Linked DNA regions of Lonchura striata. The protein of the gene in region 2 interacts with the protein of the main gene of each other region in a pairwise test. Links are inferred from orthologs where the notes say so. Each region holds a gene or a part of one and is shown on either strand. Other genes may lie near its edges.

Region 1 (7,990 bases), on a different chromosome or scaffold from region 2:
AGGGTGCATTGTTCATGCATTGTGTCCTGAGACACAATCATGCAGAGAGTATATGTGAAGAAAAAGTTAAGGGACATGAAAGGTTTGGAAAGAATGAAGAAAATAAATCTCTTGCACAAACATTTGAAATATTTCAAGACCATAAGAAAATTTAAAACTGTTGGCTTGTGCATGTCTGCACTTCAGCTAATGATTCTATCAGTGTTTAAAGCATTTGCCACACAGAAAACCTAGGAGAGAAATAAAAGGAAAAAAAATAAAATACCAATGGGTGATTTGTCATATTTATTTATTTTTTTACCATGTAATCAAGAGATGGGCCAAGAGAAAATTCAAGGAAAGGCTAATGTAGGAACTAGAAGGAAAGTGAGCAATAGCTATCTAAAGGCTTACAAAAATAGTCTTAGGAGGGTAGCAGAAGGAGAGAAAAAAGCAAATATATATGCACCAGTATAATCCATACATGCTAACTTCTAGGGCTAAGTTTGGATTTATTTCCACTGCCCAGGCCAGTTAATCAGCTGTCTTTGTTACTGATTGATGGCTTAGAAAATCTCTGCCTTTGCAGCTGTGTGACTGTCAAGTATGTAGTCTCTTTTTTTGAAAGAGAAATACAAAAAGAAATTAAATCTCTACCCTGAATGAAGGACAAAAGGGCATGTAGGGGTATAAAAATCACAACATTACAAAACTGGAGCCAACCACTTTTTCTAAACTGACTACAGTCATCTCTTTTTTATTGCACTGAATAGTAATTTTACTTTCATTATTCAAGAGTATTCACCTGATTATAACTCAAATTTTTGAAATACCTCATCAACAGCTTCAGTAGTTCTCATAATTTCCCCTCGTAACAAGTCTGACAGTTACTTCATCATTCTGCAATTGCTTGACCCTTATGATGCATCCCTTACAAAAGAGAATTCCTTCCAATACCTCCATTCTTTTCCACGTGCAAGCTGATTTCATTGGAGCAATGAATACTCCATAGTTCTGGGATTTTTGTTTTCCCAGAAACTTTATCAGAATTCAAATAGGCTGTGGAGAAATAGTCCAAAAAGTTGCATGATTTCAGTGCCCTGGATTGTTCATTATTACCCTGCTAAACAGCACTGTCCAAGCATGCTTACAGATTGCAGATGAAAATAACAAAGAGAGAGAGGAAGCACAATGCAAACTAAAATATTCACCAATACACAAGTGTAAGTGCAAGCATAAGTATCAGTGCATTTCACCAAGTGGTTTAGTTTGAAACCTTCACTAACACAGACACAGAGCTTTCTCCTCTTTCCTGAAAAACAGTGGAAAAGATATTTCAGCACTTTCTTAACTTTTTTTCAATTCAACACCAACAACTGGAGTTAAACACTGCTAAACAGAGAAAAAGCATCCCTTGCTTTACATTAAGCTGTTCTTTATAATTTCCTGGCTTTCCCTCCTCTCTTGTTAAAGAAAACATTAGGTGCCCAGGCAGAGATGTATCAGTGTCCACATGACACATCTCTGTCCCTCGGGGTCTCCTTACAATAGAAATAAAAGCTGCCTTGTAGAAGTTTCCTTCTTTCACTCGAGCTGTTTTCCCTCGGATGCCAGCAGCGTCTCATCCCTAGAGGGCAGCCAATGAACACAGCTCCAGGCACAAGCGCTTTCTCTCAGGCTGCAGGATTTATCACATTTAACCAGCTTGTCCCTTCTGTCTCTAACACAGCTGCAGGAAAACCACTGTGACTGACAAACTTTGGGTCATTTCAGTTGCTTTTTTCCAGCTCCTCACGGTAGGGGTATGGAAGCATAATCCACCCCCTCCCCCACCCCACCAAACTTAGGGACAGTCTTTTGCACCTCTTCCAACCGGTACCCAAAACCTCTTACCTTATGATGACAAACATGACCAGGGAGTTTCCCACCAAGCCGACAACGAAGACCACCGAGTAGACAGCAGTGATGATGATGGGAATGGCGGGGGAGATGCTGGTGTGGTTGTGCTGGCCATCCCCAAAGACCCCAGTGGCATTGCTGTCATAGTCTGCCCAGCCCGGGAGCCAGCTGCTGCTGGTGCTGGGCGGCCGGCAGGGCCCTGGGGAGCAGGTGGAGTCTGGCTCCTCACGGAAAATCTGTATGGGGGCATCCATAGGGGTACAGTCCCCAGGAGGGAGGGAGGGAGACCAGGAGGGGTGCACACAGCAGGAGGCAAGTATGCTGGAAAGAGGGAAGAGAGAGAAAGAAAGTATTTTTACAGACACAGAACATTAAGACCTCTGAAACTTTTATGTGTTAAGGGGAGCTCTGCTATGATGGGGACTGTAATTTGCCAAGCAGAGTTTTAAATAAATCACATTCATATTAAATGATTTCAAGTTTTACATCTTGCTATGTAATGCTGCTTCTCCAAGTGCACAAGGAAAGTTTTCCTCTACTTTCAAAGGTTGCATAGAGAAACAAACCAGATGGGAACAGCTCAGATCCACTCCCACACTTTAACCCTGTCTTTCCCATCTTCCATATTTTAAGTCAAACTCTATCCTAACAAGGGCTCCTCATTGCCTAAGCTCTGCTATAAAGGGGAAGGAGACAGAGAAACCACAACCTCTGTGCATCTGCTTTATCATCCTGCCCTGAGTTATTTTTCCCTGATCCCATACCTGCTTTCATAGAAAAGACACATTAATGACAAAAAATACCTTTCAGTCCAGGAAAAGAAGCGGAGTCCTCAAACAGGTGCTCTTTTGCGGGAAAGGAAAAGAATAAAGCCGCTGCGCTTGGCTCCTGGGAGTGCCACTGACCACCTAGGACTTTGAGTGTGAGGCAGCTGCGCCCTCAGAGAGGCGTGCTGGCAGCAGAGCCGGCTCCAGGCTGGAGCCGCACCGTGCAGCGGCAGCTGCTGCTGTTCCAGCTCCCACCACTTCGCCTTTTCTCTCTCAGGCTCCCTCTGCCTCCCTCTCGCTCTGCCAGGGCTCCGGCAGCACTCTGCACTGATGCACACGTTCTCCACTGTCTCTGTCCCCGCAGCTCAGACGCTCACATGACTTCTTTCTAAACACTGAGATGCAGATAAATTTTTTAAAAAGCAAGAAATAAGTTCTGTTATGAACGAATGCTTATTTTAATACACTTCTCCAAGTTTTCTTTCCTCAATTCTCCTACACTCCCAGGCCTCAAGAAATAATCTGCTTTGCTTTATTGAATCCCACAGAATTTCAGACTAGTAGACACTGAATAAAAGAGGAATTTTAAGTTTAGATATCTTGCCTGGTCCATCAGCTCTTTCATACCTTGACTCCACAACTGTGTGTCCAAAATATTTCTCACTGGGTAGCTGTGCCCCTGTTCCTTTGCACCTGCAACTCCGAAGTCAGAAGCTGGCTACCAAAGAAAAGAGGGGCACCCTAATTACTGTACAGATTTTTTCAATCTGTCCCAGACCATGTGAGAAGCCCAGAATTCCCTGTAGCACTTCATTCTCCCAGCTGCAGCCAGAAATGGGGAAGCGGTGTGTACAGAAATCACATCCCTCAGAGCTTATCCCTAATATACTCTCTCAAGCAGGAGCTGTCAAGGCACCAATATGTGTGTTCTTTAACTTACACACAGACCTTGAAATCCCCACCAGAACTCTCTATAAATGGCAAATTGGAAGAGAAGAAGCAAGACCCTGAGTTATTTCTAGTTCTTTGGAAGAGGCTGGGAACAGCCAGACTGGCTGCATCTCAAAGTGTGCAGCAGAAAAACCAGTCTCTGGAGAAAGACAGAAGCTGTGGGTTTCCTTCAAGCTTTTCAGTCTTGAAACTTTACTTCACACTCCTTCTTGTTGAGTGTCTGTGATAGATTGAGTTTTCTATTCTAAACCAATTTTCTTTCTAAACCTATAATCAAGAGACTAAATTATGTCAGCTGAGTGAGAAATCATGTAGGAGGCTTAAAAGGTACAGAACCCCCCCTCTCTTAGAGGAAAAGGCTTGTTCAAATGTGATAATGGCTTTGACTCTGGTCACTGTTTTCTCTAGAACTTCAGTAACTTCTCATGATCATGTGTATAGAGCTGTCTAAAAGTTTCACTTTTAATGGCAATGAATAAAAATGCAAAATAACTAATGCGTGACAGAAATGTCCCTGCAACAGGGACACAAATCTAAGAAGTAATCATTTTTTTGAAGATGAAGTAGATGCTAACATAAAATGTACTCCAATTCTGGCTTTATCCTCTGCAATCCATGGTCTCCTGCCCATGTACTGAAGGAAGCTACTGTTGCTGTGTCATCTCATAAATAATTTTACTGTCGATTTTCAACTTCTTATTAGCATCTTCCCCAGAATTTTCCACATTCTGCAATTAAAATATACAGGACAGATTTAAAATAGCAATGTTTCAGCACACATTGATAATTTAGCTCTTATGAGCAATCATTTTGTCACTCTGCAATTGCTACAGGTGGATCCAAAACTTCTATATGGGGAAGGAAACTTATTATTGCTCTGAGTAAATCTACAGCACAGATAATACAAAAAAGTAAGATAAATAGCAAACTCTCAGCTTTTTGAAGCACCAATGATTGGACAGTAATCTGCTCATTCTCTAAGTAAATTCTGTGCTGAAACTCTCCATGGATCTTAGAGTTAGCACCAAAAAAAGATGTGCTTACAGTTATAGTCACTGGCCCTTCATGGAGTTTGCCATGTAACTACATGGGACTGGAAGGAGGTGGAGTTTGACCACAACACTACAAATCACAGGTTGAGACAGAGGCAATGTTTAACTTGCTGTATGCTTTTTGTTTATGTGTGTTCCATGTTGGAGACCCAGTTTTGGCTCCTGGTTGCTGTAGGACCTTGTGAAACAGTAGAAAGAAAGTACTTAGCTAAGTTGTTGGGTTGTCTTCTGAAAGTCAAATCAAAATCATATGCACTGTTAAAAAATAATATTTTCCTTTCTTGCGTTGGCTTTGCAAATGAAAACCTGAATATCAGGATTATCAGCAACAACTGGTGTCGCTGCAGGTACCAGGAACAACCGCCACGATATAGAAAGGAAAATTAAAGGCAGAGGGGGAACAAGTGTGCATCCTCCTCTCCTTCAACACCTGCCTGCACAGTGCCTCTGCACCCTTCCCAGCAGTCCTGTGGAAAAGGGCAGAGTCTCCCGGAGTCCTGGGCAGAGAAAGGCAGGGTGACCTAACCCAGACTGCCCACACACCAATGCCAGAAACCCCTGTTCCCTCTAAGGGCTTACATCAGACAAAAGGCCCTCCTTTCAAAGGAAAGTAAGGAAATATTTAGAGAAGAAAGACAGCATAAAAAAACCCATTGTCTCACTGCTCAGCTGCCATTTTCCTCCAGTAATGTTCTCACAAACACGTGGCTTGCATGCTCCCCAACTTTTTGCTGTAATACTTTAGACCCGATAGTGTTCACCTTACTGGACTTTGGGAAACACAACAGAAACCACTTGGACTTTTTAAATTAAGAATATAAAGCTATATATCAAAATCCATAATTATAGAAAATTATTTAAGTTATAAATTCCAGCTCTCAAAGTGAAAAAAATATCACATTCAGTTGCCTGATACCTAGGAACTACAACATGTGCATTTACACAAATTTTTACTTTCTCCAGGCTCTCTACCTCAATCAAAAATCAGCTACACAATATTGCTTAATGTAAGTGGAAGGGAAAACATAAACTGGGAATTTTGTATTCTTTTACCATCCTAGTGAAATTATTTGAATGAATAAGAAACCTGGGGGGAGGGAAATATGTGATATTTAACAATAGCAAGTAGGAAGAGCTTCAGCACTGTCTTTTTTCTTACCAAAAGCTAAAAGGCTGCCCCCATCAGCACAGTGTTTTAAAACCTTAAAGATGTGGTGGGACATTAATTCAGCCCTGACTCAGAGGTAAGAATGAACCACCTTGAATCACAGGCATGACTCTATGCAGCACTGTGCCATCTGCTCAGTGTGCTGCAGCACAGACCCAGCTCCATCACCTCAGCACACTCAGGCTTTGAGTGAAAGCTGTTAAGTTCCTGACATTGTTTTCTAGAAAACCATGACACTTTATGGGTTTCAGTCAAATGCACAGGTAGGGCAGACCTCAAGGTTCAGCCATGAACTGTAATGCTGGACACTTTGGAACAGATCATTTCCAGAGATCATCTGCTATTTTAGAGGCTGGAGAAGAGAACACATGAGTTAAGTGGAGCACACTATCAAGATGCTTCTTCAGCTAATATTTGTTTTTACTACACGATTAACCAAAGGTTACAATGCTAGTGAGCCTGTGTAAAGGTAGGAGATGCTGGAAACACTTTCTGGTGGCTCCAGTTGCCAAGGAAACAAAGTTCTCTTGTCTCTCTGCATCCACAAATGTTAGCTCTCTGTGTGAACACAGCTTCTGGGAGATGGTGTGTTCTATGGTCTTCAAAAGACCTGCAAGAGAGGGGAACAGGCAAAAGAGAGATGAGAAAGTATATGCAATGCTACTCAAACAGCTTTTGTACACATTTTTTGCTCACAGCAGACTAAACATTCATCATGAAATTTGTGCTTTGCTTTTACTTGTCAATAACAGAAGTTCATGTTACATATAGAAATAAATTACTGGTACAGACCTCCACTGTGACCTTCAGACACCAGCCCAATAAAGTGCTGAGCACTGGGATAGCTTCTGTCCCAAGGCAAGTCCTCCTTCCACAGAAAAGTCCCTGGGTGGTCATGGAGAGACCAGCCATGCTCAAACCGCCAGCTGCAGGGAGGGACTGGAGCAGGTGTTGAAAGGTTTCTGACTCTAGGACTTTAAAAACAAGGGGAGTTACACATAGAAGAGCTAATTGACAGAGCAGAGCTCAGTGGCTGGGTTTAAGGAGTTCAGAAAACCCCAGCAGGAGATCATCTGCCTTGTTCTGCTGTCACCCTGCCTCCCCCCAGCAGCCCTTCTGTCCACAGCTGGCCATGGCACTCATGCCAGGTCCCTGGAGCAGAGGCAGAATTGTCAAAACAGGTCACCACTTTGCCATCTTCCCTGCATTTCATTTCATCAAGATCCTCAGCTGGAAGTTTTATAACTTCTCACTTTTATGTAACAGGCTAAAGCTCTGACTCCAGAGGAAACAGAAGGATGATTAAAGCCCATAAATTTGAGCTACAGAACAACTTTTAAGACTTCTCTTTAAAGAGAAAATTGTGGTATTCTTCAGATATCTATATAAAGATACATATATCTGATCTACAGGCCACCTCACCTGAGACAGATTTTTTAACAAAAAAAAAAAAAAAAAAAAAAAAAAAAAAAAATCACACAAACCAAGCAATGACAGAACAAAACAATTACATCTCTCTATTATTTACAACTACTTCTGTGGGCATTAACATTCAACCATCTTTCACAGCAAGTTGACTTCCCAACATGTGGAAGCACAGCTCTGCTGGTAAGTGGTTACACAGTTCCAGAGAGGGAAAGGGGATCAGCTAACAAAACCTGAACTTCCCTCCAACTTTGGTTCTGAGACAGGAGATGATAATGAGATTCAAAAATTTATGGGAATAAATAAAATCCACTTTAAGATTAGCCTGGTCGTTTCTTTTTAGGATGATCCCAGTGGATTGTGTGGAAAAAATACCGACTTTTCCCCAAAGAGCTCAAGATCCTGCAGAATCTTTACCTTTTTAACAAGAAAAGGAGGATGATTCATTTCCAGGAAGGGTAAGAACTCTGTTGATTATATGCCAATGATACCTAAATCTTAATCTTCTTTGTTTCATACTTAGAATGGTTTGTTGACTTATTCTAGTGCCTGCTAAAAGAGTGAAAAATGATGTATCTGAAAGAAGAGAAAAGTGAATTTTTCATACAGCCCCTAAACCTTGCCCGTCCCACCTCCTCTACCTCCTGTTTTTGGGACCTTCATTTGTACATAATTAATGGCTTAAAGACAAGTATTGTGATGGAAGATGGGTGAATTTAGCTCTCTGAGTAAGAATTGTGACTGCACCA
Region 2 (8,009 bases):
TGGTCCACTGAGTTGGCATCTCTTTGTCCCATCTGGGGTACCAGAAACTGCCATCAAAATCTGGAAAATAGACTCTTTAACCAATTTGTTGAGGTAGAAAGTCAACATAGTTGTATTTGGTTTTAGGGTACATGTGAATAACTCCACAGAACATGCCAGTTATCAAAACCTTTAACTATTCATACATCTGAGCAAAGAAATTAGTGTTCATTGGCTTACAAGCTACATAGTTCTCTTCATTAAATAGTATTCTATCACCTATTGTTATTTATTTATTGCTTCTAATGCCAATTAATCCACATATTTAGTCTTTTTATTATTTATTTCTTTTTCCCAGGTAGAGAGAATCTCAGTAATTTTCTTTGTTAGTTTCTCCTTCATCTCCAATTTCTCTAAGTGTCTTTGGTTACAAATTCTGCATTCTTTGTGGCCAGGTCTCAACGAAAAATTTCTCTCTCTGGTCGAAGAGCACTGAAGCACATCAGTCCCTAAATTGGTAATTTGTTTTTCTAACACATGGGCATCACCCATAGCTTGCTTGTCATCTGTTACTCAATTCATGGATTAAATATTCTTAAAGCAATTTCCCTCCCGACACTGCTGCACAGGCTCCTTTTAAAAGAAGTATTAACTTGTTTGGTAACAGTGCCACCCTTAGGTTCCCCTAAAACACGCAGTCTTTGAGAAAAACTGGTTTTCAGAAACATCCCAGTGGCCCCACTGTTGCTCCTTTGTTTTCACAGGAACAATGATACCCCTCCCCAACGAGCCACTCCCAATCACTGGCTGGAACAAATGGATCTCAAACTCTGCTTTGCAAGTCTGGGCTGTTACTGCTGCTTTTGATCATGCAGCAATTGTGATTGTGTTCCTTAATCTCCTCATTACATCATTTGTATGCCTTTAAGCAACTTTAGCTGAAGCTGGGCCATACAAGAAGTATGGTAAGAAAGAGCAGCCTTTTTTTGAAAAAAAAAAAAAAAAAAAGAAAAAAAACAACTAAGAAATTGTAGAAAATAGAGCAGCGAGACAGCAGCCCAGCATGGACAACACAGAGTGCTTTCCTAGAGGAAAAGAAAACATTCAGACAATTAAACATTGTTTACTGGGAGTGAGTAACCCTGTGCCCTCATCCAAGACCAATGTGCCCATACTGGCTCTGAAGGTGCTACAGATCCAGTGCCAAGAGAAACTGGTGACCAGTCACGAGGGACACAGCAGAGACACCAGGCAAGGACTGTGCCACGGGTGGCAGCGAGCAGATCAGAAGCACGAGTGCCTTCAGGTGTGCCATCTGTGGTTTAATCACTGTTCAGACCACAAAGCACAAATTTCCTGACAAAAGACACTTTGATATGCGGAGTCCACACTTAAGATTAAAAAAAAAAAAAAAAAAAGTCTGTAGAGGCAGAAATGACCCAATAATGAATAATGGTAATAATGAAAGAAACATGCAAGGGAGTCCAGAGTTATAAGCAGGACTGTATAGTACGGCACAGGCTGCAAAGCCTGCCCCCAGGTTCTGTGCAAATATTTGTCTCCTGCTCCTATGCATGCAGCATTGGCAATGCTTGGGAAATCCCTCGTGTAATGTACCACATGACCTGCAGATACTGCAGTACAGAACGTGCTCACAGTGTTCTGACACTCTAGGTTAAGAAAAAATATATTGTTTTGACAGTCCTTGAAGGAGCACTTTGTGCTGGCAGTCCAGGGTAGGAAAATTAGCCAACACCATTTCCAGTTCCTCCCTCTGGCAAACGAATCCAGAACGTGGGGTTTGTCACATGCCCATGGGCTGACATTTTAACAACCCTAAGTCAGATGTTTAGATGTTTGTCACTGCTTCTGCATGTATCATCTTCCTGCCTGTTTTGCCAGTGACGTTGTTGTTATTATTGAAGCTGAAGGAGAGAGCTGGGAATTCGGTGCCTGACAAAGTGGGGAAGCAGGAGGAGTCTTGGGGCTGCACATCCAGAGCTGCACCATCAGGGCAGGGAGAAACTTCAGTTAGGGCATTTGCTGAGGAGAAGTCATTGAGCAATCTGCTCACAGGGCCATGTCTTTGCATCAGAACAGGAAAAAAAACCTGGCACTTTTCTCTGATTTGTCATGAGAAATTAAAACCAGGTGTTACCTTAGCTGCCTTGGGAGAAGTCCTGGGGATAAAAACAGCAATTCACATGATAAGAGGAGTTTGAGATCGGTCTGTTTAAATTTGCCAGAATATGTTGGTGGCTTAGGTGAAACAGACTAGAAAACTTCCTCTCTTTTGTGCTTGAGGAACATCACTGCAAACCTTCAGTACACCTCAGCAACTGCTGTGCTGCAGGCAGTCAGGAGGCAAGGAGGCCAAACACAGGCTTGACATAAAAGTTTAATGCCATGAAACCAGAATTTTCCTTGGGTCTAAACCCTGGGGCTCCTTCAATCTGAGATATTTGCTATGGAACTGCAAAAAATAATTCCTTCCTTCTGACTCATCCCTCTGAGCTCCTCTGACCTGGCAACCATGCGAGAACATTTACGTGTCCTAGGACAGACAGAAACGTGTTGACGGTGCTTCCTGTACAAACCTGGTGCACATGAACTAGAGAAAGCTGGGACACTGTGGCTGGTGACATTCCCACTGTGGGCTGCTTGATCCTTAGGAGATTTGGGCATGCACCTGCTGGAACTGGCCATTAGCAAGAAGTCACTCCACCCCATACTAAATAAAAGTATTTGTATTAAAAAAAAAGTAACTGTAATAAAAGCTTAGAAAGTAAAGGACCTGCCAGAGTTTTTGCAGACACACTTCAGCCATCCAAAAGTAGGTGTCATGATTCAGGTGAGAAGAATCACACCCCAGCACACCTTTTCCTACCCCTGTTCATCCTCAGTAAAGACACGGGGCTGAATTGGGAAATCTGTGTCTTTTTACCTCTGCCTTTGGTGTGGCCATGGAGAATCACCTCATGCATCTGGCTGTTCCACTCATAGTCTGCTATGGCTAAAACACCTGCACAGATAAAAGATCAGCCTTGGCAAAATTGTGTTTCCTCTAGGTAAAGCATGCAAAGAAAAAATAATTTAATACAATCCAACTCATTGAATTGTAGCAATTTATTTTTGTCCTGATTTGAGCATGCTGAGCCATTCATTAATACCTGCTCTTCTGCTGATCAGTGAATAATTGTGAGTTGATCTACTCCTAGGGGAAAAAAACCCAGATATTTTATGTGCCAGCTGAGTAACTGGGCCGAAGTTGGCTGGGTGTTTTGGCTTGTTGGCAGACCTTTAGCTGCCTGCTGTTTGCAACACGCATCTGGGGTGACCCATCATATGGCAACGCTTTCTGCCAGAGAGGTGCTACAAAAAAGGCAACAACCCAAACCCCAGCAGCCACGGGGCCAGTCCAAGTGAAACAGAGAATTTTGGAATTCACTTAAGTTAACAAAAGGAATTAAGCATTTCTATTTTAGCTTGTAAAATTATGTGTTGAATTTTAACTTTTTACTTAAGAAACCAAAGTACAAAAGGGCATAAGAAATGCAAATTACTGAACCTTCTTGCATAAGCAATAAAAAAAAGGGATCAAAAAGAAAAAGAAACCAGATAAAGAGGCTCCTCTATCTCCAGACTTATCTCTCAGACTGATACTTGTACTCAGATAAGCACCAAAAGACTGAAAATGCATGCGCAGAGAAGAAGAGTACTAAAGTTCAACCATGAGGATGACTATGATCTTCAGCCTCAAGAGACCACCAGGGACCCCCGTGCGACCACCACAGCAAACTACGTGTGCCCAGAAGGGTGTAGACTTATTTAGCATTAGGGACAAGGGCAGGCGGGGCCAGGAGTTAAATATGCATAGAAAAGTTGTGTAACGTATTGCATATGGAACACCTTTGGGAATAAAAGTTTGGGTCAGATTAAAACTCAGTGTGCAAGTCTTGGAGAAATATCTCACTTGTGCCAGGCGCTGACCGTACATACCCCCTTCATAACTACCCCAAGTTGTGGAGCCTATTTATTTATTCCTTCACAAGGATGAGCCATTATTTTTGTGTATGCAGCACAATTTTTTACATTTCGCACCACACCCATCGGGGCAAGTGGGGCCACCCAGGCCTCTCCTGGGGAGCCCCGAGCCTTGTGCCCCGCTGAGGCTGGTGCTGTTTTGACAGCCCTGAGTCACACTGCAGAGGGCATGTATGTATTAAAAAATAAAAATTGTGTTTAAATGCTTGTGTTATGTGTAGTAGATCTAATTTGCGCCATTTCTGGTATGATAAATGTGATATTGAATATTTGTTGGAGTATACATGTTTGTATTAGGAGTCCCCCCCAACCTCACAGGTGACACCTGGTGTATATTAGAGCCCGATTTGATGGGCCATGTCTGGAGAGATACGGGATGCCCAGAGATGGATATGATGGAAATCCTTGGGCAGATACATGTGAATGCAGGGTTCCCGTAAACTTCATCAAGGGATCCAACAACTCCAGACACTGAATTGTTCTTCCTCATCACCAAAAAAGAAAATTTTTTTAACCTATGGACTCTGAATAGAAGAAAAGACTGATTGCAAAAATCTTGACCTCAGGCGGAATTTTCCCTATAAAAACCACTCATGCCAGGATGGAGGCGTGTGGGCACAGAGGAAAACCTCTGCTGAGGCTGACTCCTTGTTGCACACCCAGGGCCAGCCCCGGGCTCGGCTCTGTTCTTTCCGTGTGGCTGGATAGATAGAATTGGATTGCAAAATAAATATTTTATTTTTTCATTTTAATCTGGCTGGACAAATTTTCGTGTATAACAGTTGTTTGTTTATGTGCTGCCGGGCAACACATCAGTGCACGAACACTGACGGAAGGTGCCCCCCCTTCCTTGCCGCCCACCTCTCCCTGCCCCGGCCAGCGCGGTGCCTCCCTGTGACGTCAGGGGGGCACCTCCGCGTGACGTCACCCCTCCCCGTGACGTAAGGGCGGGGCGGGGCCCGGGCGTGACGTCAGAGCGGCGCTGGCGGCGGGGCGGGAGCGGCCGCGGCTTTGTGCGCAGCGCCGGCCGGGCGGAGGCAGCCGCAGCAGCCGCCAGCGGAGGGACAGCCCGGCGCCATGAAGTTCCAGTACAAGGAAGACCACCCGTTCGAGTACAGGAAAAAAGAAGGGGAGAAGATCCGGAAGAAATACCCCGACAGAGTCCCCGTGAGTGCGCGCTGCCGGGCGGCCGCCTTTGCGCTCCGTGCTGGCCGCCGGCTGCTGCTCGCCTTGTTTTGGAAGGAAATGAGTTTAGTACGGATGGCCGTGATCTCGCTGCTCTGATTCGCATCCCCGGCTGCTTTTCTCCCTAGAGCGAAGCTGGGGCTATTCGCGATGCGCGGAGGGCTGCGGTGCGGGTGGGGGTGGAATACACCTTTTCCCCGGGATGCGCGGTGACTCCGCGGTGGGAACGCTGCTGATCTTTTTCTGGCATGCGTGGGGGTGAGTGGGCAAGGAGCTCACCCGTGTTTCTGTGAAAATGGAGATCAGTGAGGCGGTTAACCGGGTACTCTTCATGCTAAACACGGTCTGCATCCGGGTCATCTCGTACGTCCCTGTTATTTTTATTTTACTTCACTATGGCTTGTCTTTTCTATATAGCCTTGCTCTTTTCCTTTGCATGAGCAGAAAAAAATGATACTTCTGGGTCCTTTTACCCTCCTGTTTAATCATCCTGTGGAGAAAATGTCACTTGGAATGCAAGGTCATCTAGCTAAATTTTGCTTCCTCATTCTTAGGCCCCTTTGGAGTGCCTACGGGAAACTTCTGGCTTCATAATTCCGAATAATTATTGGGATGAAAGAAAAAAAAAAAAAAAAGACAAATATAATTAAGTGTAGAGTGTTTTTTCTTTTTTAATAAACATTTTGCAAGTATTCTTTTTTTCCTTCCCCACTGGAGAGGTCTGCCCTAGATAGACTGCACAACTGTACTGCATTCAAAAAAACTGGGTCCTTCCTGAAAAACTAATGACAAAGGGGGAACAGTTACACCCCATGTTTTCCCTGCAGGCTAACAACATTTTTTTATCTTGGGAGTGACCCTCAAATGGACTTGGAAACAAGTTTTTGGAAGTCAGTATTTGGGTGCCTTTGTTCTCTCTTTTTTGGCATAGGTTGAGCATGCTTGAGGTGTGTGGGGTTGGGTATTTAGGATGAGGGCTGTGTAGGTTGGGTGAGAGACAAGGTGTAAATTGAGGATTAACGTGGCAGATTGCACAGCAGGCCATGACAAATGTGTCGGGAAGAGCCCTGTGGGGAGCCCAGGACAAGGCCCAGTCTGGCAGGAGGTAAAGAAGGTCAAGACAGGGGCTCATCAGCAGAACTTTGTAAAGAAAACCAGGACCAGAATAACAAGGTGTGCTGGAGTTAATGATAATTGGAAATTATGCACAGCAAGGCCCAGATGTGAATTATTAGGGATGGCCTCTTGAATGCAGCACTCTGTTCTTCACATCACTTCTGTGTCTGCCCTTCCTGACAGCAGGATCCTTGAAGATGTCATCCTTTTGGCTGCCTACGCTGCAGTGCCGTGATACATCTCAGCATTTTGATGAGATTTCACTGCCCTGCGTTATCACAGTCGCCACTCAACAGCCAGGCAAATGTAGCTATCTGTATTCTACCCTTACGGTTTTCCTTTTAGTTGTTTTTTGGTTTTTGGTTTTGTTTTTTTTTTTATGTATGGGAAGGGTTTAGTGGCTCGGAAGAGATAAGCTGCATTATACAGCAAAACTGACTACAGTTGCCAGTCAGATGAGCAGAGCATCTCCATTCCTTCCGTGCATCTTTGCAGGAGGGAGATGTCCCTTAAGCTCTCCTAAATCAGTGGTAATCTGATTTAAATCTCTCCTAAATCTTTCCTAGGGGCTTAGAACCCCCAACAGTCACCTCAAAGGCATGACTTCTTTTCCTTTATTATCTAATGACCAATCTACAATCCCCCTCCTTCCCCCCCACCTCCAGTTAGGGAAGTCACAGCAAGCAGTTTGGCTTGTCAGTAGCTTTTTAAATTGGAGGCAAGAACTAAAGGTTTTTCCCCACTGCAGTTTATTGTGTTAGCTACTGCTTTGTTTGGCTGTGCTGGTAAAAAATGTGAGAAGTGTTGTGTGTTGCTGTTCAGTGAGGTTGTGGTAGTGTCCTTCTCTCACAGCATTTGCCAGCTGCATCTTGTACAGAAATCCATGTCCTACCTCAGACTCCCTGAAGGAGCTTGAATGCCTTGTGCTAACTTAGGTACTTGAAAATCTTGAAGTAGCTGAGGCAACCATGTTTCTATTTTAAAATCAAACCTGGAAACTTCAGCGGGTTTGGCTGTGCTGGCCACATCCAAATGGAGCACAGGGAAAAGATGTCCTAGTTGGTACCTCTCTGGTGTGAGATATTTTGCAGACACTCACTTGGCTTTAGAAAGATTCAGGTTAGCACAGCACCATGTCCAGGCTAAAATACGCCAAGCTCATGATAACATTTTGTTCTGGTGTGGTGTTTCACTAGTGGGTCAACATCATTTTGCTTCCAAAGAAGTCTTAGTCCACAGCAGTCCAACTTTTTCCCTTACACAACAGCTGTATTTGGGTTGCCAAAGAGCTATGGGAGCATGGAGCCCTTAGAAATCAGTCCCACAGTGTTTCCTGTGGAGTATTTACAGGGTCTAAGGAAATTAAAAAGTTTAGGAAGTTCAGAAAAATCCAGCTTTTGCTTTCATTTAGGTGGTCAGAATGGCTTCTGCAGAACAGCAAGCCATATAGATTGAAACATGATATATCTTTTACCAGTTCAAAAATACACATGAGGGAAAAAAAAGCCTGCAGGTTTTTTCTGCACAAACACAGTAGTTCCAAAGGTTTCAATGGAAAAGGAGATCAGGTCACTTTGGAATAATTCCTGCTTCGGAGGTAAATATTTTGCCTAGCTCTGCTAACAAAAAATATCTTTTAGCAAAAGACCTCTTGATTTGTTTGATCCTAAAGCTGCAGAGCTTTG
Region 3 (6,870 bases), on a different chromosome or scaffold from region 2:
CTTAATCCCAGACCATGGATATGATACTAAGCTGTCCCCAGCTTCACGGCACTGAGCCAGCCCCTTTCCCCCCACAGGGCTGCTGTCACTTCACTGCTTGCCCCACAAACATGAAGACCTGATTATATACAGGTACAAGCAAATACTGCTTTTAATAGCTTTAATCTTCTGTTTGCATACACAGTTAAGATTATGAGCAATACGTTCTAGTACTGTAAAAATAACTTTTCAGTCCCCAGCATCATCACTAATCCTGCTAATCCGTAACCAGGCAGCTGGAATGCTGCATACTCACCAATAGGTGAAAACTTTCTTCTATACGTGAACCAGAGACGAGCACTTATATCCAGCAATAACTTAGATTTGTCTGGAATAATTTTAAGAGGAAATAAATTATTAAAACAGAATTAAAACTGAAAAATTCAAATTATCCCTGTACAGTCAATACGCAGAGTACAAGGAAGGCTCCTATAGCTTTTACATAAAAGACCCTTAATACTTAAAACATTTTTTAGCAGTTTAAACACAGAGAGCTTTTGCAGACTGCTAATTAAAGTTAACTTATTACAGATGAAATAATTATTAGCCAATGAAATTTTATAAGGTGTTTGGAATGACTATGCCCAGCCTGAATAAAGCAACTCTGGAGAACTATGTCCTCAGGAAAGAACTGGTAAAGCAGGTTAAGAAGTTCTACGTGCAAATCAACATGGAATTATACATTACCTCCTAACCCAACAGAAAGTAATTTTAAGAAAATGGTAATAATGTCAAATTGAAGCCTCTTGTTTTTCTTGTTTGTTTAAACACATGCATTTACAGATTCTCCAAAGGCTCTGAAGAATGCTTAAGAACCCTATCTGCTGCATTTCCCCTTAGCTGTGGCTCAGACTGGCTGGCTTTTCCAAAGGATTCTCCAGCTGATCAAGGATCCATGCAGCATCCCCAGCTGTCCTGAACACCGTGCCTGCACTGGTGGCCACTGCCTTTGACATGTAACACAGGAGGATGGCCCTGTCTTCTCCCCAGGGAGCAAAACTCATTTCTGAAGTCTTATTTTTATATAAACACATTCCTCTGCTCTAACTCTCAGGTAATGTATTTATTTTCGCTAAAATGCAGTATGTGTCATAGACTAACTTATTATTGTTACTTGAAATATAATTCTAGTTGCAAATAACAGGCTGTGGACAGCATCCCTCATAGGAAAATGACATCAGTAATGCTGAACATTTCCCAAAAGTTATATATTCATTTCTGGGGCCCTGATGTTGGGAAGTGACAAGGCTCACGTCTGACAGACTCTGCTATGAATGTGATCATATTGCAGGAATTACAGTGGAAGCACACTGGCCTTGGCTCTGGTTTCTGTACAGGAGGAATTCCCCTGCTTACACCTGGTGTCTCACTGATGAAGAACAAACTGCCCTCATGAGACATTCAGGGAACATAAGGAAATCAGGAGCTGTTGCTGCATGTGAATCTACAAATAGTCTACAGATGTTACAGATAATTTAATTCTAAAGATACCTGTGTTTAGGTGGTGTTGCCTTCCTAAAATCCACACCGGCTCGTCGGTTTCTGGAAATTCTTCTAAGTAGTCTGACAAAATAGTGATCTGGTTTTCATACCTAGATAAAACTGAACAGGAATACACAAAATTCAAACTTCATTTTATCCCCTTGTTCTTTTATGCACAACTTGGAGCTCTCAAACTGAGCTAGTTTGTAGTAAGTCTTTGCAGTCTTTGGGGCTTCTGAGCGGTGCTGCCAGCTGCTTTTAATTGTCTCCCTTAAAAGCTGTTCTGACACTGAAATAGCCAATGCCTTGGTTTTTATTTAGTTCCTCAGTGAGAGAACACCAGGAATAACACCTTTAGAAGCAGTCTCACTGAAACCAGTGACAGAAGTTCAGGATGACTGCAGTGAGGATGAGATTTGATTCAAGATAATGATAAAAGGAAAAAAAAAAATCAGGCACCACAGCTTGATCTGAAACGTAGAAAAAATACAAATCAAAGTGATTATGACCTCATGCTTAATGGAAAGCATGTGAGAAGTGTTAGCAAGGCTGGGCTTTACTTTCCTAACTGGAGATTTGAAACACTTCAGAAAAAAAACAGATGTATTAATGTTATTATTCAACACCACATCTGTTTAGTGAAAAATAAATTATAATTAATACTACCAAAAGAACACAGTCTAACAATTTTCTAGATCATTAAAATTGTGCTTTTTGGAAGAGCGCAACAACCCTTCAAGTATAAAAAATTAATGTAAAATCATATATATTAAGTAATATTCAATTTTTTAAAAATATACATTCCAACAATCAAAAGGGAGCTGCACCACCCTCTGGCTGGAGCATGAGGCCACTGCCGAGCCCCGACGTCCCGCGTCCCCGCAGGCAGTGCTTAAACACCAGGACAGGCTCCTTAGGGCGGGCAGCTCAGCAAAACAACTTCTCGCACCGTGCTCTGCACCCTCCCACAGAAATGCCGTCGCTCACTGCACTCCGAGAGCAAACTGTCTGTTTTTTACTCCAAAGACTTAAGACACTCTCGACCCTCGAAATCCAACCGGAGGCACCTGCCGCCTTCGCAGCCCCCTCCGACCGCTCGTGCAGGTACGGCCAGGGCTCCTTTCCTCGCCGGGGTCTCCTTTCCCCTCCCGGCGCTCCCCCCGAGCTGCGGGCCAGGCAGCCCCGGCTCCGGCCGAGCCCCTCACGCCCGGCCCCGGCCGAGCCCCCAGCCCGGCCCGGGAGAGGCCGCGGGACCCCGAGCGCCGGGCGACCCCTCAGGGCGGACCGCGCCGCCCGCCGCGCCGGCCCCCGTCCCTCAGCCCGCGGGCGTCTCCCGCCGCCGGCGGCCCCGCTGCATGCCCGGAGCCCCGGCCTGGCCCCTCACGCCGCCCCGCCCGCCGTGCCCGCGCCCCTCACCGGCCTCCATCCTCCCGCTGTCACCATCCTCCTCCCCTTCGCCCCGACACGGAGGCACAACACGGCCGCGCCGCGGGGCGCCCTGGGAGCTGCAGTCCCGCCGCCGGCCGGGAGCGCACCGCCCCCATTCCGCAGCACTACAAACCCCAGCAGCCCCCGCGGCCCGAGCGGCGAGCGGAGCAGGCGGGCAGGCGCGATTGGCTGGACGGGGCGCCGGCGCTCTTCTGATTGGCGGCTGGCGGTGGGGGTCGCGCCCCGCGGGCGGGTGGCAGCATGGAGGGCGCGGTGTCGGACGTGGCCGTGTGTAACCTGGCGTTCGCGGGGCGCCTGGAGGAGCTGCGGGCGCTGCTGCTCCGCGACAGGGCCCAGGCCACGCGCTCCGACCAGGTCAGCCGGCGGCGGCCCCGGGCGGCTCCTGCCGGCTCCTGCCGGCTCCTGCGGGCCGCTGCCCGTCCTTGCCCCGCTCACCGCTTCCCTCCCGCAGGATCACCGCACGGCGCTGCACTGGGCCTGCTCGGCGGGACACACGGACGTCGCGGACCTCCTGCTCGGGCTCGGCGTGCCTGTGAACGACAAGGACGATGTGAGTGCCGCGGGTTCCCCGCTGCGGCCGAGGCTGCCGCCGTGCCCAGGTGCTGCCGGCCCGCTGCAGTCTGGTTCCAGCGCGGAGGGGCCCCGAGAGCGGCGGGGGCCGCTCCCGGGGCCGCTCCCGGGGCCGCTCACGCCGCTCCCGGGGCCGCTCCCGGGGCCGCTCCCGGGGCCGCTCACGCCGCTCCCGGGGCCGCTCCCGGGGCCGCTCCCGGGGCCGCTCCCGGGGCCGCTCCCGGGGCCGCTCCCGGGGCCGCTCCCGGGGCCGCTCCCGGGGCCGCTCCCGGGGCCGCTCACACCGCTCCCGGGGCCGCTCACGCCGCTCCCTTCTCGCCCTCCTGCCCCTTCTCCCGTGGGCCCAGCGCCGCGTCTGGCACTTGTGCAGATCCAGGCTGCTCTGGGAAGGCAGAGTGAAGTATTCCGCTTTTGCAAAAAGGCATGAAGAGGGGATTTGAGACCTGCTCGTTGTCCCGGAATTATAGGAGAGCTGTGCTTATGAAGGAAGGTGTAAAAACCAGGGGCGTTTTCACATTACCTTATCTCTCTGTGATCTCTCAGATGTGTTTTGCCAAATCATGAGGCACCCTGAAGGTTTCTCAAACTAGGGAAAGTATTAATAAAGCCAGTGCAGGTTCAGTGATTTCACAGCCTGCTCCTGTTCTAGAGGAAGAGTTGAAATATTTGTATCCAGTACAAAGCATCTCAAATGTCATCCATAGAGAAGGAAATGTCTCATGAGTGTAGAGAATAAGTTATAGAAAAAGTTGCAGAAACTTTTTAACACCCTTTTCTACTACTGCTGTTTGTCCTTAAAAAGGCACTAGTGTAAATTCTGCAGAGACAAAGTTCTGCAAAACACCATGCAGAACTGCATAGCAGAGGTGATTTCTGTCGTTTAACTGACAGCTTTTCCAGGTACTGCGTGCAGGCATGTAAGAAGACATGAGCCTTGTGTCTAGTGAAAATCAGTAATACTTTAGCTTTACACTTGTAAGAGTAAGAGTGTGTAGTTCAGGTTTGTCTGGGTTATGCATTATCATGTTTTCCTGCATGAAACTCATGGTTTGAATAATTTAATGGATTTCTTCTTGCCTCTGTAGGCTGGTTGGACTCCCCTGCACATTGCTGCTTCAGCAGGCCGTGATGAAATTGTGAAAGCCCTCATTGCTAAGGGTGCTCATGTAAATGCTGTCAATCAGAATGGCTGCACCCCCCTGCATTATGCAGCCTCCAAAAATAAGCAGGAGGTATGTTTACCTAAGCTACTGGAGCTGGTGGTGTTCTTGGAAGAAGGATTTAGGTCTGTTAAGCCCACAACCTCCTCCCCTGCTCCTTTCTCTTTCAACATACTCAGATTGCAGTCATGCTTTTGGAGAATGGAGCAAATCCAGATGCAACAGATCATTTTGAATCCACCCCGTTACACAGAGCGGCAGCCAAAGGAAACCTAAAAATGGTCCAGATCCTTGTGCAGCACAATGCCACTCTGGATATACGGGACTCTGAAGGGAATACTCCTCTGTAAGTAGTTTTTTATTTTTATTTTGCTCAATATAGCATAATCTCTGTGAAATGCAACTCCATTACTTCAATGTCTTTTTATATTTTTTTTGTTGCTGCAAAATACACTCTTGCTTAGCATCCCTATGCAATTGAGGAGTATTTGAGAAAGTCATACTTAGTATTTTGCCATAGTGGTCAGTACATGCATACTTTGTGTTACTGCATCCACTTAAAGAATGTAGAACACATTTTTTATTAATCTGGAATACATTTGTTGCTGCTACAGGGTAGAAAGTGAGCTAATGACATCAGAGCCAGAGGAAACTGCTCTTGCAGGCTGGTCTAATCTGTCCTGCCAAGCAAGAACTCATTTCAGAAGCTTTTCTTCACCTCTCTAAGGAAAATAAGTTGCAATTGAAGTACAATCAGCCCAGTGTTTATTGTTACCTTAGAGATCAATTTGAATCTGTAAGGGTTACAGATATTTTGAAGTTGGTGTCACAACCACAGTGGAATCCAGATTTTGCTGTGAATAAGATCAAGCAGTAAGTTTTAGCTGTACATAAACCCCAGTATGGCCCTGGAATGCACACAGTTCTTCCTAGGACACTGTGCCAAATGGAAAAAAGCATTTGCTGCATTTGCAGTAACTCATTATTTCGTAGCATCAGACAATTTATTTCTCACCTTCAATTTAATAGAGATTGCCATTTTCCATTCTCACCATGGATTATGTTCTCTTTAGCTTTGCTGACTGCATAGCCAAATCCTAACCCAAAGACCTGTCTTAACATTGCAAGGAGAGCAGCAGGAGGAATGTTCTTGAGTTGCTTAATGATGACAGAGGGACTGGACAGCAAGCTTTGGAATCTGTCTAGGTAGTTGGCTGCTTGTGGATTTGTTGTTCTCAGATGTATCTCCCCCCAACATTCACACTGTCATTTTGACATGGTGTAATTATTGCTCTTTAAAAGCTTGGACAGTTTAACGGTGCCTGTGGGTTTCTTGTTCTCCCTGCAGTCATTTAGCCTGCGATGAAGAGAGAGTGGAGGAGGCAAAGCTGCTGGTGTCTCATGGTGCAAGTATTCACATTGAGAATAAAGAAGAGCTGACCCCTCTGAAAGTGGCAAAGGGTGGCCTGGGAGCCATCCTTAAAAGAATGGTGGAAGGCTAGAGGGGGCTTCCCACTTGAGTCTCTCTCCTGTTGCACTTCTACTTAGGATTGCAAACTTCATATTTTGATAGCTCATCTAGGATATCATGTATGGTGTCAGCATGGTAATGAAATGTTGTTATTGAAGCTGTCCTTCAAGTGCATTGCCAAAACAAGTCTTTGTACTTCCTGTTAATTAAATAGTTCACTGATTTTAAAGTATTTTTCAATATCTTGCAGTTTTCTTTCAGTTTACAGTGTGATGTGTATAAGTGTGGTATTCCTTCTACTTCAGATCTCAGTTTAGAATTATTTCTTTCAAGAAACAGGACCAAAAATGTTTTAACCATTTAAAGCCAATTTTTATTTTCTTATAGAGTCTTTGTTTTTTCTCTTAGCCATTGTGATTTTTGTGTGAGGTTTTGTCTGTGTTTTGTGGCTACCGATTGTCTTTCTCCAGATGATTCTAAGCTACACTGTGTTTCTCTTCGTAGAATGCAGTTTGCTTAGTTACTTAGATAATTGTATCCAGTTTGCTACTTGTGGTGTATTAAGTGAAATCTGAGTGTTTAAACCTGTTCTATTACTGGTTGTTATCCTGTTTTTCCCTGAGTCTTTAAATACATGTATTTGATGAAGTGCACTGGACTGCTTGCAGAATGCAGGCCCAGTTTCAAGGTTCACTCTTC
Region 4 (7,803 bases), on a different chromosome or scaffold from region 2:
AAATGCCCCCCCAGGGGCTGGGGGGCACTGGTTAGGGACCAGCAAAATGCAAGAAGCAGCACTTGAAGTGTAGAGGGATGGCAAATTCACTCTCAGACAGACTGAGCTTCAAGAATGGGCTGACACCTGTAGTCCACCACCAGTGACCATGAGCATTAGTGTCTGCTAAAGCTGATGGCTCATGGGGGTGGCAGCACTGGCAAGGCCACTCTCCTGGCCTTGCTCTCATCACTGCTAAGGGTAGCTTTTGCCAGTCCTGACCCTGATGATCTCGACAGCCACCCTGATGCATGCAGCAGGTAGCCTGGCACAAGCACAACTGCCTGCTCATGTCTGATTCACTGCACATGCAGCAGTCACGTGTGAGCACGTGGGCCTGGCGTTTGGGACGTGCAGTGACAGCTCACAGCGAGACGGGGCTGACAGATGCTGCAAGGTGAGTGTGACAGCCTCTCTGCCCTTGGGGGTGGGAAGGAGAGCCCGGGGCTGCCTTACCGACTGGTCCGTGGTGAGTGGTGTGTAGCCTGTCATCAGGAAGTGCAGCCGGGGCGTGGGGATCAGCGAGGCGATCAGCCCGATCAGGTCATTGTTCATGTACCCGGGATACCTGAGCGTGGTGGTGCTGGCAGACATGATGGTGGACACCTAGGGGAGAGGACAGGGTCAGCAGAGGGTCACAGAGCCTCATGCTGACATGCCAAGGGAAGCTGGGGCATCTGGAAGGGCACAGGACCTTCACTCAGCTCCAGGCTGCCCAGCCCTGAGCCCAGCCCGTGAAGCTGGTTCAGACTAAACTGAACAGAGCAGGGAAACCCCATGCTGGTTTCTCCTGAGGGAAAGTCCTTCTCACCAGCTGGTTGATCTGTGAGAATGACGGGTTCTGAATGTGCAGCCGGTCTGTTGCGATCCGATTCAAGGCTGTGTTGTCCAGAACCACCTGCAAGACAAACCTGGCTCTGTGAAGGGCCCCTGAGGCAGCAAGGAAGGGCAGTCCTGGCTGTGTGTCCCAGGTGGTCCAGCACAGGCCCTGGATGGAGCCCTCTGCACAAGTGGCAGACACTTGAAACCACCAGCTGACTCATGTGTGGCACGTAACTGACACCCTCAATGGAACCTCTTCCCTCCCTCCTGGCTGTGCTCCCCATGCTCTCCCAAAGAGCTCTACCCCTGGGCCAGCACTGCCAGTTGCAGCAGCTCCAGTGCAACTGCTCCTGCACTGCCACGTGCAGGGACCAGCTGCAGGGACCAGCTGTAGGGACGAGCAGTGTCTCGGTTAGACGTGAGCAAAGGCTGAAGGCGCTGCCTGGCTGGGGATGTCGTGGGTGCTGCACAAGACACAGGTGCTGCATTCAGGCAGGGGCTGCAGCACAGAGGAAGCACAGCCAGTCCTCACTGCCTTGGGAACATCTCTTGGACCCAAGGCAGATATGCCAGGCAGCTCTGCAGGGGTTAGCACCAGTGAGGGTCCCTGGAGCCACATCTGCTTGGCCCATCTGTCTGTCTGTTCATTGCTGCTCCCGGGCTCGCAGGCACACGGTGCTGGCCCAGGACGGGCTGCAGTTCTGAGCTGTGGGGACAAGGCTGTCTCCTCAGGGCTGGCTGCACCACAGGCCTCTTACCACACAGTCAGCATTCTGGGTCAGCCTCTTCAGAGTCAGCAGAGAGTTGTACGGCTGGACTACAACATCGCTCATCTCATCCTGGTTTGGGAACACTGAGTAGGTCTCCACCAGTTTCTTGGGATACCTAGTGAGAAGTGCAGCATCTTGAGGGTTAACACCATCAAGCTATGCTCTCCCCTCCCACAGGCTGCCTTAGCAGTCTCCAGGGCTCAGGACAGGGTGAGTCACCAAAGCTGCAGCCAGAGTGGCTCCCAGGGAGGGAGAGAATGTGTCCCAGCAATGCCTACCCCAGCAGCACAGCAGCCGGCTGCCAGAGGAGCTACAGGGAGGCTGAGCCATCCACAGGCTGATTAAGCAGCTGCTCACAAGTATTTTCAAGAGGATGCAAGCTGAAACAGGCCAGGATGGCAGCTCACAGCCTTCAGTCAGAGCCTCCCACCCTCCCCTGCACCGTCAGGGTGTCCGCAGGCAGCTGCCTGATAAGGAGGCTGAGGGAAGGCAGAGCTTGGACAGAACAAGTCCAGTTTCAAAGCCTCTGAAGTCCCCAGGCGTATCAGGAGCCAGCCTTCTGCAGGCAGCGTGCCAGGGATTGCACAAGGCAGTGTTTTGGTGGGGGTGGTGGCTCTGAGTCAGCGCTCTCCAGCTCCTGCTGCAGGCAGGCTGCCCAGGCTGGGCCAGGCACGGGCTGTGGGCAGGGGACAGGGCTGGGCTCACCTGTCATTCAGCCTCTCCAGGAGGTAGGAGCCCAGCCCAGAGCCTGTTCCACCAGCGATGGAGTGGCAGAGCACAAAGCCCTGCAAGGAAGCAGAAGGTGCTGAAGGTGAAGCTCAGCCCCAGAGCAGGCAGACAATGTGTCACCCCTGCTACCTCCAGCAGAGACCTGCCAACAGGGCCAGAGCTCCGTGCAGCAGCTGGGAGCATGGATGCAGCAGACTGACCCCAGCTCCTCCAGACCCCAGCAGCAGCCACAGCTCCTCAGGCCACTCCTGCCCACACAGTGGGACCTGCATCTCTGCACACCCCGCAAAGTGCAACAACTGCTCGGGAGCGCTCAGGATTCCCACCCAGAACAGAACTGGAATAGCTCCAATGTCACCTCTAGGGTCCAGTCCATCCCAGGAAATGGAACTGCATGTCCTCAGCCCTTTCCTGGGTCCTTACACCCCTCCCTCCTCCTAGTCTGACCGAGGCCAAGCTCCCACTGCCTGACTCCAGGGCAGCTCCCACATGCTCAGCTCCCACATCAGGCACTTCAATGTCCTCCATTGTTTCAGTGATGTTCTCCCTTCCCCTGCTGCCATGTCACAGCCTGACATGAACACCTGGCAGCCCTGTCTGCACACAGGGTGTGCATGTTCACATGGACAGCATAAAGAAAATGCCCCACAAGCAAACAGTGGAACAACTCCTGGGGCAGGGTGGCAGATGGAGTGGGAATGGACAGACCCCCTGTTCCTAGATCCCCTCTCTACACGTTCTGTGCTCAGTCCCAGAATCTCACTGAGCTAATCTGTGCCCACTAGAGTGCTGAGCTCAACCTTACAAAGAGCAACCTAGCTGGGAAAACACCAGGCAGGGCCACCAGATCCAAATCCCTTGTTTACTTACTTCCAAACTGTCACTCCCATCAGCCTCTCTGTCTATTATGTCAAAAATATCTTCATGGATCTTTTCTCCCTGCAAGAGAGATCAGGACTGGTTTTGCTCCTTTCCCACAGAACATGGAGAAGAGCTGCTCAAGCTCAGTGTGAGTCGAGTCAGACTGGCAGTGTGGTGCTGTGCCCAGGGTGCCACACAGCACATGGACACAGGACAAAGCCCCAGGGCTGAAGAGTCTCACCCAGCAGCTCTAGGGCTGGTACCTGCGAGAAGCCACTGGCCCAGTTGTTGCCAGCTCCCCCTCCATGCTCAGACAGGTAGATGTTTTCTGGGTTGTAAAGGTTGGCATAAGGGGAGTTGAGGATGGAGTGGATGACACGGGGCTCCAGGTCCAGCAGCACAGCCCGGGGGATGTAGTGCTCATCATCCGCCTACAACGGGAGCAAGAGGATCTCGATGCTGCTGCAGCTCGGTGCCACCTCCCCTGCCAGAGCGTGAGCCACCCCTGGCTGCAGGTGAGCCCCACATGGCCGGGCCTGGCCAGAGGGAGCAGGGAGAGAGAGGCTGCTCCTGTGCTCAGTGCAGCGTCTCTGTGTGTCTCTGTGCCCAGAGCACCGCCAGCCTGGAGTGGGAGGAACTCCGGTGCTTACATAAGCCACTATCTATGGCAGCCACAGCCTCGTGCTTGTGCTCCACCCGCACAGGCTCCGCTCACACACCGGGAGCGCAGGCGGGAGCCCGGAGCGGGAACCGGGGCCGAGCCGCCGCTCCCGCCCGCACGGTGGCGGCAGGGACGCAGCCAGCCCGGCTGCACTGCCGGGGCACAGGGAGCAGGGCAGCACTCGGTGCCCGCTCCGCGGCCGCCCGTACCTGGTAAAAGAAAACGTCCTTGCGGTCGGTGCCCTCGGTGGCGAACTCTTCCACGATGCCCTCGGGGCTGATGCCGTGCTCGGCGCAGAGCTGCTTCCAGAACTCGAACCCGACTGCGGGGAGGAGCGCTTAGACAGACCGAGACCGAGACCGAGACCGAGACCGAGACCGGGACCGGGACCGAGACCGAGACCGAGACCGAGACCGGGACCGGGACCGGGACCGGAGCGCCCCGGTCCGCAGGCCCCGCCCCATCCCGCCTGGCCCCACCCCACCCGTCCCAAGCCCCGCCCCGTCCCGCCAGGCCCCGCTAACTGCCCCCCCCACAGCATCCCGACCCCGCCCGGCGCGCGCTCCCCCGGGCCCGCCGCGGCCGTGCCGCGCTCACTCTGGTTGCCGCACTGGCCCAGCTGCAGGGTGATGATCTCCCGCGGCATCGCGGCCGAGGCTCCGCTCCGCTCCGCGCCCCGCCCGACTCCGGTACCGCCGCGTCTCCCGCCGGCGCCAACGGCAGTGCGCGCGCGCACCGCGCACTTCCGGGGCAGCGCCGCGCACCTCTGTCCGCGGCGCGTCCCGCCAGGAGGTGCAGGCCGCGCATGCGCCAAGATGGCGGCGCGCTGAGCGGAGTCGCCGCGTGTTGCTGGGGGCCGCCATGGTTGCGGCGGCCGTGCGCGCGCGGCGGGCGGGCGGATGTTGACGCCGTGAGGGAGCGATGGCGGCGGCGGCGGGGCCCGGGCCCGGGGAGCGGCAGCGGCGGGTGCAGGCGCTGAGCGCGGCACTGCGCGGCCGCCTCGGGCCCTACGAGGCGCTGCTGGGTGCCGTACAGGCCGCGCTGGTGTGGGAGCGGCCGGGCCGCAGCGCGCTGTGCTGGGTGGCGGTGCACGGCCTGTTCTGGTGAGCGGCGGGCTGGCACCGGGACCGGCACCGGGATGGGGATCGGGATAGGGACAGGGACCGGGACCGGGATAGGGACAGGGACAGGGACTGGGATAGGGACCAGCACCGGGACTGGGACTGGGATAGGGACCGGCACCGGGATGGAGACCGGGATCGGGACCGGGCCGGCAGGGCTGAGCCGGCGGGGCTCGGGGAGCTGTCCCCGGGAGGAGCGGACCGTGAGGGGCCCGGGAGCGCTGGGTCCACTGCAGCCCCGGCCTCTCCGTGTACCCGAGAGCGTTTCAGACCAGCCGGGAGAGCTCAGCCTGCTGTGGCGCTGGAGGGAGGGCGGCTTGCCTGGGACAGGAGCTGTGCAGCAGGGCTGGCCCGGGAGAACCGACACGGGCAAACGAGTCACCCGGCAGCTGCCCCCGGGGCACGCTGCGTGCTGACTGAGTAGCAGGTGCTGAGTTTTCCTCCTGAGTGAGTGGTTTGAGGTTGGTTTGTGTTATCCCTTTTTGTCTCATAAAGATCTGGCCAGTACCAACTCATTGGTTTCTTCCCTGTAGGTTCTTTGCTCTGACTTCCCTTCGTTTGCTGTTCCTGATTGCTGTAACACTCATAGTAGTAGTGTGTCTAGACCAGTGGAAGCACAAAATCTGGCCAGAAATTGGTGGTAAGTTGCATTTTGAGCTCATAGCAGCAAATCAAGCCCAGTTTCCAGCCCCACAACTACAGGCTCTATACTGCCTGCAGTTACATGGTTAAAACCTCAGCTTTTTGCTTTAAGAGTCTAGAAGGCAGCAAGAGTACTGCAGGCATGCTCTTTCTGGAGATGGAGTATTCTAACCTGTGTAAACACAAGTTCTTTTTGTGCTTGTGACACTGGTATTTGTCTTGTAATCCTGAACCACAGGATGTACGTGATCTAGTGCAGGCATGAGACCATGATTCACTTTCTGAGCATTCAGTACCAGGGTGAGAAATGGAAGCATATGTGGAACTCATCTGGATTCCCCCTCAGAATCCATAATCAGTTTAGGATGAAGACAAAGTCTCAGTCTTGCGGTTGATCAGAGATTTCTTTGGGAGAAGAGGCATCTGAGCAGCTGTAATGAAGTTAGTTTCCAGCTTGCAGTAACCAAAGCAGTTGTGTCCCTCCTTTGTGACATTAATACACTGATGAACACCCCCATTCCAAGCAGCTCGGGGTCCCTTGGCTTTGCATGGACAGGTTAGTTTGGAGCAGTGTGAGGGTCTGCATGTTCCCAGGGCTGGTTCCCTGACTAACCAGCAAGTTCAGCTTCCAGCTTTCTGCTTCAATACGTGTTCTCTGTAGTTCCTGGGAAGACATTAAAGCTTTCTCAGTTTCAAAGCTTGGCTCAGGCTCCTTCTTAGGAGACAGCGTCTGTCCAGCTCCCTCATCCCTCTGATTTGATCTCTCAGGGTGGCTGGTACATCCCTTTCAAGTCCCAGCCTGGGTGGGAAAGTATCAAAGGATTTAAATCCCTGGTGCCTACAGTCTGCAGGCTGTGCCTCCTCTGCAGCTGGGGCGTGCAGGGAGTGGGGGAGAGGGAAGTGGGCAGCCTCTAGTGTCCAACAAACACCAAGGAGCAACAGGGAGACTCTTGCAGTCCTGTGCTGTCACACGTACACGCTCAAGATTTGTTATGGAGTGATGCCTCTCCATCCTGTAATTACAGTTAATGTCTTTTCCAGGTGTTCCCCAGCTCATTAAAGCTTTACTTAAATCCCAAGAGCTAAACATTCCCATGGCAAATTCCTTGAAACTAATGTAGTGTCTGTTCTTAATATTTTAGTGGCAAGACCTGATGAATTAGACAATGAGAGGTAGGAAACTAATTGACTCCTCTGCTGTGATACTTTGCTGTGATACTGTGTTGTTACCTGCACGTGCTTGGGATATTGGCCCCTTTGGGCCAGGAGGAGGGGGAGAAGGGAGGAGGGAGCTGGGAGCTGCTCGACCAGAGGGCAGATGGAAACCCAGGTGCAGTCAGGTGGTTGTGAGATGTTTTTGACTTGCCCAAGCCATTTTATTGTACTTTGCCTTCATACCAGCCTCCAGATATGCTTGCTTAACTCCCTGCTGCCTGAAGTTAGAGGTGCTGCCTTAGGAGCAATTCCTCTTGTTTGGGTCTCCAGTAGCAGGAAAACAGCATTTCTGTGGGAATTAATGAAGTCTTTTGAGACTTGATAGGGAATATTTAACAGGCTGGTTCCAGCAGTTGTTCCTGCATAGTTATGATCTGACTGCAGCATTAATTATGGGTTGAGAAATGCTGAGGTGTTGCCTCACTGCTCACACCTGCCTCTCTGGGCACACCTTCCTGCCGCCACTGCCAGGCTGTGCTGGATGTCAGTTCCTGATTAAATCACCTGAGCTGGTGCCAAAGGACAATTGTCTTTATTCATTCTTTTTTAAGAGGCCCAAGCACAAAAGGAATTGCTCTTTCTAAACTTCAGGTACTCATGACTAGCAGTTAGGCAACACTAACAGAACTGACCAATTCAAGGCCTCCAAAGTAACTGAGTACATGAAGTGAGGTGCAAGGCTGCTTCTAGACCTCATGCTGAACACTTGGAGGCTGCAGTTGACCAGATAAACACAGAAAAAGTAAATGGAATCACTTGATTTGCCTCTGCACTGTGCACTCCCTGCAGTAGCGTAGAAACTGGTCCAGACCATTGACTGAAATTCCTGCTCATCAGCTGCTGTGGGAGCACTGGGATGCTGCTAGAGGGGCTGTAGATGAACTGCTTTGGGCAGGGCACTGCTTGGAGGGCAAGTGACCCTCATCTCTAGAGCTCTGTCTGG

What was found.
Region 1: the proteins of GABARAPL1 (region 2) and OPRK1 interact in binary tests that used the Homo sapiens proteins (3 or more experiments, as listed by UniProt). The link is inferred for Lonchura striata from reciprocal best matches to the Homo sapiens genes GABARAPL1 and OPRK1.
Region 3: the proteins of GABARAPL1 (region 2) and ATG4A interact in binary tests that used the Homo sapiens proteins (3 or more experiments, as listed by UniProt). The two-hybrid records come from large-scale screens. The link is inferred for Lonchura striata from reciprocal best matches to the Homo sapiens genes GABARAPL1 and ATG4A.
Region 4: the proteins of GABARAPL1 (region 2) and RETREG3 interact in binary tests that used the Homo sapiens proteins (3 or more experiments, as listed by UniProt). The link is inferred for Lonchura striata from reciprocal best matches to the Homo sapiens genes GABARAPL1 and RETREG3.

The regions. Positions count from the first base shown.
Region 1 is NC_134603.1:40,045,983-40,053,972, reverse strand, and holds the start of OPRK1 (kappa-type opioid receptor), read right to left. Parts: upstream 3,015-7,990; 5' UTR 2,682-3,014; intron 2,200-2,681; 5' UTR 2,133-2,199; coding exon 1,873-2,132; intron 1-1,872. UniProt on the Homo sapiens protein: G-protein coupled opioid receptor that functions as a receptor for endogenous alpha-neoendorphins and dynorphins, but has low affinity for beta-endorphins.
Region 2 is NC_134607.1:2,234,482-2,242,490, forward strand, and holds the start of GABARAPL1 (gamma-aminobutyric acid receptor-associated protein-like 1), read left to right. Parts: upstream 1-4,998; 5' UTR 4,999-5,100; coding exon 5,101-5,190; intron 5,191-8,009. UniProt on the Homo sapiens protein: Ubiquitin-like modifier that increases cell-surface expression of kappa-type opioid receptor through facilitating anterograde intracellular trafficking of the receptor. Involved in formation of autophagosomal vacuoles.
Region 3 is NC_134616.1:11,351,146-11,358,015, reverse strand, and holds the start of ATG4A (cysteine protease ATG4A), read right to left. Parts: upstream 3,009-6,870; 5' UTR 2,948-3,008; coding exon 2,938-2,947; intron 1,642-2,937; coding exon 1,531-1,641; intron 368-1,530; coding exon 296-367; intron 1-295. Other genes in the region: PSMD10 (26S proteasome non-ATPase regulatory subunit 10), read left to right, coding at 3,211-3,324, 3,422-3,520, 4,626-4,772, 4,880-5,046, 5,829-5,906, 6,049-6,202. UniProt on the Homo sapiens protein: Cysteine protease that plays a key role in autophagy by mediating both proteolytic activation and delipidation of ATG8 family proteins.
Region 4 is NC_134627.1:6,273,375-6,281,177, forward strand, and holds the start of RETREG3 (reticulophagy regulator 3), read left to right. Parts: upstream 1-4,789; 5' UTR 4,790-4,803; coding exon 4,804-4,985; intron 4,986-5,536; coding exon 5,537-5,643; intron 5,644-6,787; coding exon 6,788-6,818; intron 6,819-7,803. Other genes in the region: TUBG1 (tubulin gamma-1 chain), read right to left, coding at 496-645, 851-937, 1,620-1,746, 2,337-2,416, 3,231-3,299, 3,485-3,652, 4,092-4,204, 4,480-4,528. UniProt on the Homo sapiens protein: Endoplasmic reticulum (ER)-anchored autophagy regulator which exists in an inactive state under basal conditions but is activated following cellular stress.